Linked DNA regions of Lonchura striata. The protein of the gene in region 2 interacts with the protein of the main gene of each other region in a pairwise test. Links are inferred from orthologs where the notes say so. Each region holds a gene or a part of one and is shown on either strand. Other genes may lie near its edges.

Region 1 (7,795 bases), on a different chromosome or scaffold from region 2:
TGCAACTGCTGTCACAAAAATGCTTCCAGGTTAGAAAGATTGGTTCAGCGAAGGATCAGATGTGTGCCAGAGCTGGGGCAAAGAAAGTAGCAGCAACACTTGTGTGGGAGTCACCTCTCAGCTCCAGTGAGCTGCCAGATTGGCTCAGGAGGGATTAGGGGACTGCAGCCTGAAGCATTGCACACTGACAGATTTTGGGAGCCCCATGAACCCACTTTGGGCCAAAATATAAGTTATGACATATATCTAAACACTGAAACCCCAATTGCATATCTAAATGTACAGTTTTGGATTGCTGGGGTCCACAGCTTTTTACAGACCCCAAAGATCAATTAATCTTTTTTTTTTATGGGAAACAACTGAGTGTCTTTCACTGTAAAAAGTTTACAAGTTTGCTTCTTTCCCTTATTTTGCCTACCCCAAAACCTAGTTAACACTAACAGAATAACCTAGCATTAGCTAAGGTAAGTTAGCATGTGGGTACAAGGAAAAAAGGCCAGGCCTAGAGTATATGAGGCCTCCTTAAATTTGCTATCTGACAGTGGAAATATGACAGTGGAGTGCATGGTCCAATAAGAGTAAACTGAAGTTCAGAATTGTTATTTCTGAATTCAAATTGTCATGGCCACATTTTACAAAGAACTGATCTGAAAATAACAACAACAACAACATAGTCCCTTTTTCATGTTCTGGTTTCTTTAAGGTATGTTAAAAGGCTGATTTTGTACCATTACAGTTTTTACCAGATCAGACATCATCTACTTTCAAGCAGCCGGCAGGAAGGTCTAAACCTGAGCTAAACTCCTTTTTACATACTCTGGCTAATTCTATAAAAATGTCACCATATTCTCACCCTGCTCCAGATCAAGCACATATCGTGAGGTGAGCTGGTGGTGGGATACAGAAACACTGTCAAATCACAGCCTTAGGGAAACTGAAAAAGCTCTGGAAATTCTGGTCATCATCTCTCACATGGGTCCACCTCAACCATCTTTGGCTCAGGCTCCCAGTATCCTCCTCCTAAGGAACCCATTGTCCCTCCAGGAAGGGGACAGTAGTGTGTGTGGTACAGCACATAGGTAGAACTACTTTTCCCTTAATCCCCACATTTCAAAAAAACACCCCAGAAAAAAACAGGGGACATGTGAATGGTGATTAGTCTAACTAATGGATAGTCACAATGAGAAAAGAATGACAAGCAGCAGCATAATTGAGTTCCAAAACCTTGTTTTAATAAAGCATTTATTTTACACAAGACATATTGTTTATCATATCCTTATAACAATATTCCACATTAAACTTTGTTTTTCTGTAGCAAAAAGTTAACTTCTCTTATGCTAATCACCAAATTGAATCTACTTTACATCTGATCTTAAAATAAAATTTTATTTTTCACCACTTACACTAAAAGGAATAGTGTTCATTCATAGGACATCAGGATCAAATTCTACACTGGAAAAAAGTTTTTCTCAAGCTTATGGTGCACTGAAGCACTGATGGCATAAAAACAAATGCTTGTTTGGTCTTGTTCTGAAACTGAAGGCTTGCCCTCTGGCCAAGAACCAAATGTGCTACCAGATGAGTGATACAGAGACACTGAGCAGCAACATCAGAGAGCCAGGCTGCCAAGACTGCACTGTATCACCTCCATATCCAAGGCTTTGTCTGAGTTAAAAAAACCCTGTAGCCACACACACATATACACAAAACCAACCCAAAACAAAATCAATCCAAAAAAGCCACAAACAATACAAACAAGTAATCCTTGGTCTGGAAGCTTGTAAACTTATTCATGATTGTACCACAAGGAGCTTGGTAATACCCATGTAACATCAGATCTTCCAGCAGAAACCAGGCACTTCCCCTTTATTCTAAAAGGATTTTCATGCATTTTCCATCAAACAGTTTAGTTTCTGTTAGGGATTTTGGTTTTGGCTGTGAATAGAATGATTTGTTGTTAATTTAGCTTGAATGCTATGGAAAGGCAGAACCCAGATTTTTAAATAAAGACTGTACAAAATGCTAAATATCAACATGAAAAACACAAATAAATATTTATAGGATAAATAAATTAAAACATTCTTAATGTTTGAGCTCAGAAATAGATCATCTACCCTGAATAAAATAGACTTCCATGTATATCAGAATACATTAAGAATTAGGATGAGGGAAATGAGTGTTTAAATGCACTTGTCAGAGAAGGAAGTACACTTGTAACCACAGCAATGTAATTTCTGGCACTGAATAGTAAACCAAGTTTCGGTTCCAGTGTGGGGTACACATTTTGTTATAATTATCAAAGACAAAGTCTTTTTGTATAAGTTTGTTTAGAAGACAAAGAGTCAGCAAAATCATTATATAACAGATGAATTGCATCTACATTTGAGACTTGTTTGAAAAAGAAATACCTTGAATAATTAAACACCTGCAACCAATATTTCTGCATAGGGAAAACAAATCTCTTGTAGACTTGGTATAAAAGTTATATTTACAAGTATTTCCTTTGTCTATAGCCCTGTGTAAGCAGCATCCTCCCATAATAAGCAGAACATTCCCACAGTTGCAGTCCAAGGTCAAAGCTGCAAAGGCAGTGATTCCAGTCTCAGCTGCACTGTGCTTTCCCATAGATATTTTTCAAGTTACAAACTCATAAAAAACCCAGCTAGATTCCACAGTCAGACTACTAATCTGTACCTCATAGGAGAAATGCTACTGAACACAACTGAAAACTTAGAGATGCTCTTTTCCTAAAAATTGGCAAGACTTACCTCTGAAGTTTGTGAACAACCCCTCCCAAAGAAAAAAATACCCTAAAAGGAAAAAGACTAAAAAGGCTGAAAGAAACCATCTAAAATCCTAATGCTGTGGAAACATGGATGACTATAACAAGAAACAACCTAGAATGGCAAAGAAATATTCTAGACAAATAAATGACTGTTTTGTCATTACCAGGGATGATTACCAAATGAAAACTTTGGTAATATTTAGTGTTAGTACATTTCTTTTGTAAATCTAGCATATTTTCTTTCTTAAAGGATGTTTGGTGAAACCACTGACCTGTCAGCAAACTTTAGACATCACTTAATTGGTGCACTGTAGCAGTTCTCTTCTATTGCAAAGCCAATAAAGGGCTTTATAATGTTTGAGTCTGTGGAAAAGAAAACACATTTCATAGGTAAAACCAAAAGCATGATAATCTAGGTTTTGGACAGCCTGCATTTGGAAAACAAGGTTTACTTGAGACAGATAGCCCATCAGTGTTTTATACAACTTTATAAAAATGTGCCTTATAAAAAGCACAAGTCATTTGTAAAAGCCATTTGTAAAGAACATCCCCTCTGAGTCCAATTGTGAAGAAAGACTTAGAGGAAAAAGACTATATGACTCTATATCGGTGTAAGCTGATAGGGTAGGACTGACTTCACAGGGAAAGGAAATTGCCAAGAACTAGCTCAAAATTGTTGTGTTTCTACAAAATCCAAAACACTCAATAGTATTTGCTTAAAAAAAAACCCAAACAAGCAAACAAAAAAACCTCCAAAATGAAAACAAACAAAAAACCCCAAAACCCAAAACACAACAGCAAAGAAAAACGCCTTTATGGAAAGAAAATGCAGCTTTCCAAGGGTGATTTAGTCTTCTCTTGGTAGAGATACTGGTAGCAGAAGGTACAGAATTTTGCTTAAAACTGGCTACTTTCTCTAACTCTCTGTCAAGGTTCTTCCAGATCACATGAACCAGAAAACATGTCTGGTTTAGGTGATAAGCAGCAGATAAAAGTAACTTTATTTTCTGTAATGTTTATTTACTCCACTCTGCTGCATCCACTTTTATTTAGTCCAGTTGAGAAGGTGGTTATTTTTCATTCCAGAGTCCACATTTGGACAATCATGATTCCCCTGTCCCTCCTGTGTAAACACCAAGGCCTGGAGGGATGGGAGGCTTCCTTTGGAGTTCATATGACACTTGGAGGACATGGGTCACAAAAAAAGTAAGTATCTAAGAGGAGAAGTTCATGGAGAAGCAGAGCCTGAAGGGATAATGAAAACGGCATCAGAAAGATGGGCCATGTGTTGAAAGGCAGAGCAAGGGAATTATTAATGGGAATGGTTCCATGAGGGATCCCAGTGGGCTATGCAGCTGCACCAGCCTCAGGGCACCCTGACAGAGCCTGGTTTGCAACCCTCACAGAGCACCCATTTGGGCAGGGACATGTCCGATTCTCTGTCCCCGCATGGCAGCACTGTGGAGTTCATTTGGCACAACAGGCAGGCATCACTCCTTAGGGCAGGCATACACGAAAGTCCTCGATGTCATTAGTGGCGCCACCTTTTTCTCTTCCAGCGGGAATTTAATTATTTAGACCAATTCAGCGCTCCTTTCTTCCCCAGCACACCCTTTCTCTCTCCTCCCGAAGACCTCTCGGGTGCTTGTGAAGGCAGCGGGGCCGGCGGTCATTTCTCGGTGGGGTCCCGCGGGGGCAGGAGCTGCTCCCTACGGCGGCAAAACGAGAGAGCGGCGGGAGCTGCCGTGTCCTGCCTTGCCCTGCCCTGTTCGGAGCATCCCGGCGTAACACCAGCCGGGATGGACTCGGAAAGAGGGGCCGGGAAGGGACATCCCGCGGGAGCTGCAATTTGCCGCTCGCCGCGCCGCAGCCTGCGGGCAGAGGCGCCCGGCTCGCCGGCTCCCCCCGGGTATCTCCGCCTCAGGGAAGGAGGAGGAGGAGGGTTTCGTTGTTTTTTTTCATCACTCCTCCTCCCCCCCGCCTCTTTTCCAGCCAGTGGAAAATGAGTGTCTGCCCCTCTGAACGGCCGGTAGAGCGCCTGCGGCTGCACACACACACAGACACGCACACGCCCCCGCCGGCTATAAATAAGTTAGGGAGCCGGGCAGAGGGCGAGCGGCGCCCAGGAGGCAGGGACCGCCCCGCCGAGCCTCCCCGGCGGCTCAGCCCGGCCCCGGGCGCCGGAGCCGCGGGTGCCATGGCGTGCCGCTGCTGCGCGGAGGGCCGGCGGCACGGCAGCATCCTCTACAGCATCCTCCGCAGCGAGGAGCGGGCGCTGCCGCCCGCCGGGCCGGCGCCCCGGGGCTGCCCGTGCGGGTCGCGGCGGCGGGTGGCCCTGCGGAGCCCGCAGGTGGCTTGCAAGGCGGCCTCGGCCGTGCTGGTGAAGACGCTGCGCTTCGTGCAGAACGTGCCCTGCTTCCAGGAGCTGCCGCTGGAGGAGCAGCTGCTGCTGGTCCGCAGCTGCTGGGCGCCCTTGCTGCTGCTGGGGCTGGCGCAGGAGCGGGTGCACCTGGAGACGGTGGAGAGCGCGGAGCCCAGCATGCTGCAGCGCATCCTCACCGCCCGGCAGCAGGGCGAGCCGCGGCCGCCGGCACCGGCACCGGGCCGGCCGCAGCACGGCCCGCCCCTGCCCTCGCCCGCCGACATCCAGGCTATCAAGGGCTTCCTGGCCAAGTGCTGGAGCCTGGACATCAGCACCAAAGAGTACGCCTACCTCAAGGGGACGGTGCTCTTCAACCCGGGTGAGTGGCCGGGCGGGGCAGCGGCGTCTCTGCCACAGGGCAGCGAGGAGGGCGGGGAGAGCCCGCCTGTGTCCCCAGGGAAACGGGGCAGACCCGGGGCTTTCCTCGGGGTGAAAAAGGTGTTGGAGGAGAGGGACGGGGAGCAAGGTTTCACCTTCTCCCCCTTCCTCAAGATCCCGGCCGCAGGCAGCGAGGGTCCGGCTGCAGCTCGGTCTGGGGTCCTGGGGGCTGGCGCTTTCCACAGATGCTTTCCGCGAATTCCCGGCGCCTGGCAGTCGGGTGGAGAAGGCTGGGAGACAGCAGCGGCTCCTTGCTTGTTTCCCTCAGCGGGAGCGGCGGCAGCTCCACTCCCCGGCCCGAGGGCAGCGGCTCTGCCCGGGCCGTGCCCGGGGGTCTGCGCGCCCCGGAGAGCAAGGGGAGGCTCGAGGCTTCCTGCAACAAAGTGCTGTTGTGGCTTTTGGTGTAGCATTTATGATCGGGGTTTCTTTGGTGTTTTTGTTTTGTTTTGTTTTGTTTTGTTTTGTTTTGTTTTTTTTTTTTCCATCTTTCTTTGTGGAGACTCCCATAGATGCAACTCTACCGAGTGACTTATTATCACGTCGGTGACTGACCTGAAAAAGTAGCTGGCAGGCTGGATCTGGTACTTCCCAAGTGTGCAGTACCGTGTGAAAGTGGGACAGGGCTCTGCTGGCGCTCCCACTGCCAAAGTGTCAGTTACTGATGGTTTAGGTTCCTGTAGTGGTACTTTGCATTTATCATCCTGCTTGTGTAGCTTTGCTCTCTATACAGATAAGAGAGAAAAAGTTACAATACTTAAGGTGGAGCTCATGTAACACAAGTCAAATTTGGAAGCTGGTCTAATGCAAAAAATAGAGGCATTGTTCTGGAAGGAAAATTTTCTTCTCTGAAAGGTTCATCAAGCACTGGAACAAGCTGTCCAGGGAAGTGGTTGAATCACTATCCCTGAAAGTGTTCAAAAATCTCTAGATATGTTCCTCAGGAACAAGATTTAGTGGTGGACCTGGCAGTGTTAGGTTAACTGTTGAACTCACTGATCTTGGAGGATTTTCCATCCAAAATGGTTCTATGATCACATATAACCTTAATTCTGCACCTCCATCTTTCAGTATCCTTACTGCGGTTCATTTGCAAACTTCCTGTTGCATGTTGGAGTCATTACTTCTTGCCACTCATAAACTGGAGTAGAAACAGTAGACAAAAGAAGCCTTAAATGTAAAAAGTGCATTATTGTAGAAGTGAAAAACTGAAAAAAGCTATTCTTGTTGTCTTCCCCACTGTAAAAGTGTTTTGGAGAACATTCTTCAAAGGTTTTATCAACTAATTTGTTTAACACCTAAGTGAATGCTGTCAAACAACAAATTTTAGGTTTGTGAAGAAGAGTGTTAAATATCCAAAACACCAATATGATAAGAATTTGACCTGCACAATAAATTTGGCATATTGACTTTGCATTCAAGAAGTCCTGTAGCAATTTAATTTCCTTCTTTCCTTGAGTGATAATTACAGTCTGTGAGCTGTTAGGAATTGTTCTGTAAGAATAATATTGTTTTGTAAACAAGAATATATAAACAAAATAATTTCTTTTCATTTTCAGATCTACCTGGACTGCAGTGTACTCAGTACATTGAAGGGTTGCAGAGGGAAGCACAGCAAGCTCTAAATGAACATGTCAGACTCATTCACAGAGGTGATGAAGCCAGATTTGCCAAGCTGAATGTTGTTCTCTCCTTGTTAAGATCTATTAATGCTAATGTGGTTGCTGAATTATTCTTCAGGCCCATCATTGGAGCAGTGAACATGGATGACATGCTTTTGGAAATGCTTTGTGCAAAATTATAATTAAAATTATAAAGGTGTGTAAAATAATGAAAAGAAGTTCAGTGCAAAGGAAGCTCCAGAGCAGGATAGTGTAAAGTGTTGTAAATAAACTAACTTATTGTTTTTACATAGATAGTATTTTTGTATTCCATAATAAAATATTCTTCAAGTTCTGAAAGCAATTTTTATTAAACACAATGGTTTTGGAATAAGGTTATGGTCATCAAAAGAAGCTTTAAGGTTGTAGAGAATGTTGATGTCCAAAGCTGACTGGCTATTCTTTTACCGTGCCTCTAGAATAAAGAACATATTTACTACATTGTACTTTCAAGGTGAGTAATCCCTGGTTTTTCGAAATATGCACAATCTTACTGGTATTCTTACTACTTCTATTGACTTTAACAAAGTCAAATTTGTGAAGGTTATTAAA
Region 2 (7,719 bases):
TTAATCTATGTATAAACTAAATCTCACCTTCCTGACCCACAGAAGCAATTGCCCCCTTGGTCTGGCAATGCAGCTCAGAAAAATAGGAAGAGCAGAATTTCTCCTGCATCTATCTATGCATTTTAGTGGCAACCCGTGCTTGGCTAAGACTGGTCAGCTGTAAGAGACTGATGAGAATTGTTTGAAATACTTCTGGTTGAAAAATATATGAATCAAAATTACTGGTAAAACAAAAGAGATGATGTATGTGACATGTATGAAGTATAGAATTAACCTAGAAAAATAAAAATAACCAAAGTTCCAGCCTACGACTCTAAATTTTTCAAATAATATAAATGCCACAAAACATAAATACACAAAACAGTAAACCAGTATACTGCAAGGTGACAGGATTTTCTCTACAGACCAGTAAGGGTTAATTTTCTTGAAGAAGTATAGGGGGCCATGAAAATTGTGAATTTAAACTCTCACCAATTTGAAATGCTATATTAAATAACACATAAAGGTAATTTTGTTTTCATTTCTTACTGACTACTATTCCTATTCCAGGTTCCTCCTTACAAAGGAAGGCACATTAAGGAAGAAGCACCCAGGAAAAAAAAATTAAGGGAAATACATTAGAGGAATGCAGCAGGTTTGGGGGAGAGACATATTTATGCAGAGAAAGTGCTTAAGCAGCGACATTGGTGGCTGTGTCTATGGGTACATAGAGAGGTTTGGTGAGCGCATGCCCAGGCAAGGAGGATTTGGTTATGGTCAGAATTTGTGAGTGACAGCCATGTGACAGCTGGGAGTCAGCAAAGATTTCGTAGGGATGGAAATTCCTGAGACAAGACACACGACTGCTCATGCGATCTGCATGTGCCTATCGTCATGCTATATTATAATAGCTGACACCATGGTTTACCAGTTTTCCATACAAGAGGCTATAAATTAGGAGAAGGATTTGAGGAACATTGGATGAGAAATTAAAGTCAGAACATTTAAAAACAAAGGGATAAATATAACTTCTTTTCATGTTATTGAAACAAGCAAACAAAAATCTCCAGTCAAACCACACACCATCAGTAAAATCTGCATTTCCATTATTTACCTTTAGTGACAGGTTATTATTTCCTTAGAATATATTTTTTTCTTACTAACTTATTTTTAAAGGTCTGAATCCTACAAACATACTTATTTTTTAGTATGGAATAATCCCACTGATTATTCATGTACTGTAGCTATTCCTACACTTTCAGGATCAGGGCCTAAGTCACAACGTACAATTAAGCAGAGGCTTTTCCAAAGAACTGTTTAATTTGCCCTTCTGGAGGTCTTACACGGACGTGAAGCCAGTGGAGATGTGCATTTAAATCAAACCTGAAAAACTGAAATACTTTCCCTTTAACACTGAATTCAAGCCAATAAAGTATCACATGACCTTTACCGTAATTTCTATTAAAATAATTTCATGTCTGGTTGCTTCTGCTATCCTGGCTCATTTGTATTGTTTACAACAAGTCATTGCTCTCGACAGTTAGTGGTGGCTGAATCCATGGTTACCAGTTTTTACATTCACTGGTTAAATGGAATGCAGCTCTTCAGTGGGGTTTCATGGAGAAAGCTCTTAAGAAATCACAGTCCAGCTATCAATCAGGCTAACCTGGGAGAAATTAATCTGATAAGCAGAAGTATTGCTGTGTATGAAAAATTTATTGAAAGGGAGCTCAAGGCATTTATTAGTTGGAGTTGCCAAAGTGGACACGTCTGGGTCAGACTTAGTACAGAGAAGACTTGGGTTATGAGGTCTATGTCTGACATTCATCCATGTTGTGCCTCCTCTGGCGCTCACTGCTAATACAACTATACTGTTCAAGGGTTTAAAAAAAATAAAAATCTCAAACACTTATTTCACCAGAAATGTGCTTGGAATATAAATAGTGCTTAAATACAGGTTTAACCAGACTGCAGTCCCGTCAAAGTAACTTAAATAGACACAGACAAGATAGTAAAACACAAAATAGACAGCCTTGAGTAGAATCCAATTAAGACAAAAAACACCCTAAACAGAGCAACATTGTTAACGACTAAATTAAGCCTGCAAACAAATATATTTTATTGCCACCTAAGAACAATACGGACTAATTCCGTTTGCCTTGTTATTTATAGTTTGGCGTAGGGTGGGGTTGCCAAAATCAAAGAGCAAAGCAGAAACTTATTTGCAAGATGGACCCCCAAATCCCTTAAAAATGCCTAAAAACATCATAAAAGTTCTTTACAGTTTGATGGCTACAATATTTGTCCCACAAGCTACATGTCAGCAACAAATAGTTAAATCAAACATATTACTACCAGCTCATCTACTGCAAAGTCACTGTATCAGAAGCCCGAATTGATTTGTTTCCTTAGAACAAACTGAAAATGAATGTAACATAACATCCGAAAAAAGAAATCCCTCCTGCTCTGCTAATCGGATATCATATAATGGTTGATTGCAGCTTTGCACCGTGCTATTGCTGCCTATATCATACATACTTACAGGTTCTGGGTTCTTCCAAGAGTTTGGTGCAGTTTCAAGGACAAATGTCTTAAGGAAGTCTTTCTACTGTGCAGCAGTGATCCTAGCTCTGATCTCATTACATGAGCAAAGTGCTACTGCTGACAATATAAAGGAAACTTCCTGCGTGAAGAAGAAATCTTGGAAAGTCTCAGGGTTAAAAAGGCTGCTTAAATGTGCTGCTTGATTTGCTCCCTAGTTGTGTATACACAGTAGCAGCTGATCTCTGTTTGCAGCCCTGCAGAAAGAAACCTTTGCTGAAAACCAATGGCATCACATTTCACTGGAGCTACTGCCAGGCTCTGAGGAGCAAAGCAACCTTTGACAACTTCACCCAGTTCAAACCTCCGGCGTTTGCTGCATGCCCTGCAGGACTTTTGAAATTGTATTTTTACTGCATTATTTTTATTAATGCCGCTCTGAAATCCTGCATCCCAGGCAGCCGTGATACAAGCAGAAGTCTCCCTCACTGTAATAGGAGGTTCTGACTGTGTCAGGACTGTGAACTGCAGAATTCGCCACAGTATCTTTTGCTTTGTCTTGATTGTGACATTTGCAGATGAGAAGCTGTTAGCTGCACTCAAAAGCATTTTCTGCCTTAGAATGTCTAAATTAAGTGCAACAGGCATCCTGTTTATCCTAAATTAATCCTGAGCCTGCCCTGCATCAGTCATGCACTGCTCGGTGCTTTTTTTTCTGATACAGAATACAAATCAAAAGATTTTGGAAGTGGAAGGTGGCTTGTTCTTTTCATTTAGTATTTTATCTAGAGTCAGATCTAGCCTGGTCCTTGTTGGATTGAAACCATGGAGCACAACATCCCAAATTCTGCAAAATTCTGACCAAAGCTTCAGTGGGGCTTCAGTATCTGCTAGTGCCCTCTTAGCTCCTGCCTTGGCCCTCCAGAACCAAACCAGGGATGGGCAGAACCTGCACCAGCTTCTGCAGCTCTTACTGCTGTCCAAGCAAATGGTAAGACCAGAAAAGCAACATTTAAGAATACGTGTACTAGAACTAGATTTCAACTCTTAACTGGGAAGCAATACTCCAAACAGATCCTCATATTTGTTGTTCAAGAATTATCAATAATTAATTCAGATGTAGTTGTTTCACCATTTAGCCCAGGGTGGTTCTCCAAAGAACAACTGGGACCACACATGCCCCTGGCACTCAGTCACAGCATGAGCTTGCATGCTGCTTCCCAAACAGGACCTACTTCTCTCTCCAGGACAGCCAGAAAACCTCAGAAACAAAATTTAGAAGAATCCCTTTTAAAAGTGCACCATCGCAGGGTTTGGTTAGGAGGAGTTGAGGTTTTTTTCCTGGGCATTTGTGAAACTGATTAATCACCACCCCTTTCTCCCCTCAGGCACTATGACTATTCTAGCTACTAGTATATTGCGTGTTATTTCTTTAATATTTTGAACTTTATTCCAAAGGGCAGAAACCAAAACTGACAGTACATCAAGACAACATGCTCTGTGATTCAAACAGCAAAATAATTGAGGTCCTGTGCATACACAACCTCCAAGTCTGTGTATGCACGTTGCACACGTGTGCACACACTCATTCACAAGCACAAACAAGTGTAAGGGCTTCTGGCCCAATTTTCTGAGACACTCATAGTTCATGTCCTCACCTCCCTTCAAAATAAAAAATGGTAAGAAGAAGCAAAATCTGATCAGTGAAACATCCAAAATAATTTTTGTTAAAAGTAGGCACCATTTACAGGAGGGGAACCATATTGATTTAACATGTGTTTCTCCCAGATTTATCTCTCTCCTTTGGGAAGGGGCTCCTGTCCACCCCTGGACTGTGTCACACCAGAGAAATGGAAGTGTGTGGTGGCATCAGCAGGTTTAATCTTGCTCTTCTCCCTCAAGGGACACTGCAAGGCAGCGACTCAAAATCCTGGTTACAAGGCAGGGCTCCCTGTCTGCCTGCGTCACCTCACACATAACCTCACCTTCCCCTGCCTAAGCTGACACCACCACATTTAATGCATGTTGCAAAAGCACAGCTTCTGTCCCTCTGTTGCTCAAGCAGTGAGAAAGGGATTGCATGCTGGAGAAAAGTAAAGGACTGAAGCTCACAGCTGTGCACCCTGCTCCCAGATGTGCCATACAAAGGGCCACGAGTGACCTTGATCCGCCTGCTCTCTGTGCTCCAGTGCCCAGCCTGCTGCCCACACTGCACATAACTCACTCACAGCACTTGTCCACCTGGTACCTTTTGACTCTAGTATAGCAAAAGAGGGTTTTTTATTCTGTTGGAAATTCAGCACAGAGTAAAACAAGTTATTTTTGCCAGGTGAAACTCAAGACACTAATTTAAAACAAGTAAAAAAAAAAAATCCCAGTGGATGCAGGAATTTCAGTGAATGAAGTTTCCTCCTCAACAGCCTCTAAATACCCAACTGTCAGCACAGAAAAGCTGAGACTTCTGAATGCTGCCTGAGCAGTAATACAACCATATCCAGTAGTCCTACCCACACAGACCCTCTTGTCAAGGCTGGAGGACATCCAGTCTGACTCCACTCCTCCTTACCTCTCCTATGTAACTGTGCCCCCTTGCCACAGCTGGGTCAATATAAATCCAGGGACGCAGTTCCTTCAGCTACCTTCTTTTGTAAAAGTATACATAGGCCAAAACATGGGACAAACTGGAACTGCAAAATCTTTCTCCACCCAGACTTCCCAGATACACCTCAACCTGCAGCACCCCGACTTCCCTTTTCTCTCCTTTCTGATTTTCTCTTGAATTTTGTTTTCACAGCATTGTATCCAGCAAGGAGAATAGTAACAATTCAAAGCCTATTTTCCAACCTTCAGAAGGCAGGGTAAAGTAGTCTGGCTATTAAGGCAGGACCACAAAAATGTTCAGAGAGGATGGGGAGCAAGAGCTAGGAGAGAAATGAAGGGGAGGCTGACCCTTGGCTTACGTGATGTCAGAAGCTTTAGGTCTCCATACCTCCTATCCCCAGTGGAAAAGGTAGCCCTTGGAAACCTATCCCACTGCCTGCTCTTCTAAAGTCTAAACTAGTACAGGTGTCCAAGATGGGCCATGCCCTGTCTCCCTGACGTCTGTCACTTGAAACAATTTAGAAAGCTTGTTTAATTCATGCCGGCCTTAAAATCCAAACATATCATCAAGAAGACGCTTACAGCTAATACCACAAATGAGAGCAGATTCTCCATTTTTACACAAACATTTGTTTTAGATTTTAAAACTTTGTTTCCAGCAGTCAAGTAATAAGAGACAAGCTTTCTCATTTAAAGAGATTTCTGGGTCTTGTAATTAAAGAGGAACAACTGAGGATAACTGCAATGAAACGAAGTCCAGCAGAAGCATAATGGCACTTTTCAAGTCACACCTTTCAGCTAGTCTCAAGATTTTCAATAAGCAGTTATCAGTTTTAATTATCAGTCTCAGAATCCAACAGTACACAGAGACTCCAAGAAACATATCCTACCTGTTTTATTCAGACACTTAGGACTTTGCTTAAATATTAAATCTGAAACTGTTAATCTAGACCTGTGATTCCTGCACAGGTCCCGAATGTATCCTTTCTTCCATCTATCCATATATATAGTAACTGTGACTACTGGATTTTCTTTTTAACTTTTAAATGAACATGGATCCTAATCAACATATGGAACACCTTATGCATCATCACAAAAATGAGTGGCTATATTCTTCTCCTCCATAATAGTTGCTTTAAACTAAAACTTTAAACCAAAACTAATACAATCATTGGGAACTGTGTATGCCTAAGCTATTTGCTATTCCCATTAGACGCTCTGCACTACTCAATCATTCAAGATTCTCCGTCCCATTGTATTAAATATGCTCATATTTTGTGCTATGAGTACAATTAAAATTGTCTGGGTTTTCACACAGTTCTTATTTTTTATTTGCTCTCTAAAATATCCAGCATGCATTGAAACCAGCATAGGTGATAATATAGATGTAAATATCACCATGGAGGATACATGATAAATTTGACGTTGGGAATAATTCATTCAAGGTATCTAGATCCAATTTAAATTCTTTTCCAATTTTAACTGAGCCTTCAATAACCAGATGAACTTAAACGAAGGTGTACAACTTCATGCTACACTGGTAAACCATCCTAACTAGGAAATAAATTTTCAGTGATTAAGTTGAATTGTTCATACAAAATGCCAGCTTCAGCTTTTCACCCATACAAAATAGCTTAGAAAATATATACTGCATGTGTTTATTATAGCTACAGTTGCTATGAACATCTATAACTCTCCAACAATTTCTTTGATTTATGTTCAAAAACATACAGGGCATGAAATGATGCCTGCAACCTTACATTTCCCTCAAGAACATTGTGGGGAGAAGATGTATTCCAAAACATCATGTTAGATTCCTTGTTATGTCTCCTTTTTAAAATAAATGTATGATAATCAATTACACATGCTTCAAAGCAACTGCCACTAGATTCCCCAACAGAAAAGCTGTTTGAGAAAAGTTCCATATTCTTTCCCCTAATGGTCAAGTTATAATAAGAGATCTTGCCTAGATATTAAAGGAAAAAAACGTATTGTAAAGGATAGGCCTTACTCCACTTGTATATGCATGCACAGATTTGTGCTTGCCTGGACTTGACTTAGAATAAGGTTTTCAGAGAAGTAACATCGCCACTGATCAACATGCTAAAAAAGGATGTGTGTGTGAAGATCTTGCACCTAATCTGCTTGTCATTTATGCTTGTAGTAATCCAAATGATGTCAAGAGAATGACACAGATGATAAGTTAATGTATCGGGCTCAACTTCCCTTTCAACCTCAATATGCAAAACATCCCTTTAAGAAGTCCACCCAGCTGTAGCCTCCACTAGAAACAGAAACCTGAAGATGTTTATAGGAATATCAATTAAGCTGAATGGAAGCTCTGCCATTAATGCCGGTGCACGTAAGATTGGACTTTGCAGATCTACCTGAACTCCACGCAGTGGCTGAAGTGCACGTTTTCTCTGGGGTATTGAGGCCAGTGGGCTATATGCCAGTAACAGGTAAGCATAATATGGATGGTATTTCCACAGTCTCATGGCTCAGGCACAAGGACAAGGGCAGCATCCCCAGGCAGCGCCCTTGCCCATGGTGAAAAGACAGGAGCAGCCGGGAATGCACAGGGTGAGTGCATAGACC

What was found.
Region 1: the proteins of ESRRG (region 2) and NR0B1 interact in binary tests that used the Homo sapiens proteins (3 or more experiments, as listed by UniProt). The link is inferred for Lonchura striata from reciprocal best matches to the Homo sapiens genes ESRRG and NR0B1.

The regions. Positions count from the first base shown.
Region 1 is NC_134604.1:106,124,004-106,131,798, reverse strand, and holds the start of NR0B1 (nuclear receptor subfamily 0 group B member 1), read left to right. Parts: upstream 1-4,787; coding exon 4,788-5,526; intron 5,527-7,141; coding exon 7,142-7,386; 3' UTR 7,387-7,795. UniProt on the Homo sapiens protein: Nuclear receptor that lacks a DNA-binding domain and acts as a corepressor that inhibits the transcriptional activity of other nuclear receptors through heterodimeric interactions.
Region 2 is NC_134605.1:9,921,816-9,929,534, reverse strand, and holds the start of ESRRG (estrogen-related receptor gamma), read right to left. Parts: upstream 3,020-7,719; 5' UTR 2,620-3,019; coding exon 2,522-2,619; intron 1-2,521. UniProt on the Homo sapiens protein: Orphan receptor that acts as a transcription activator in the absence of bound ligand. Binds specifically to an estrogen response element and activates reporter genes controlled by estrogen response elements.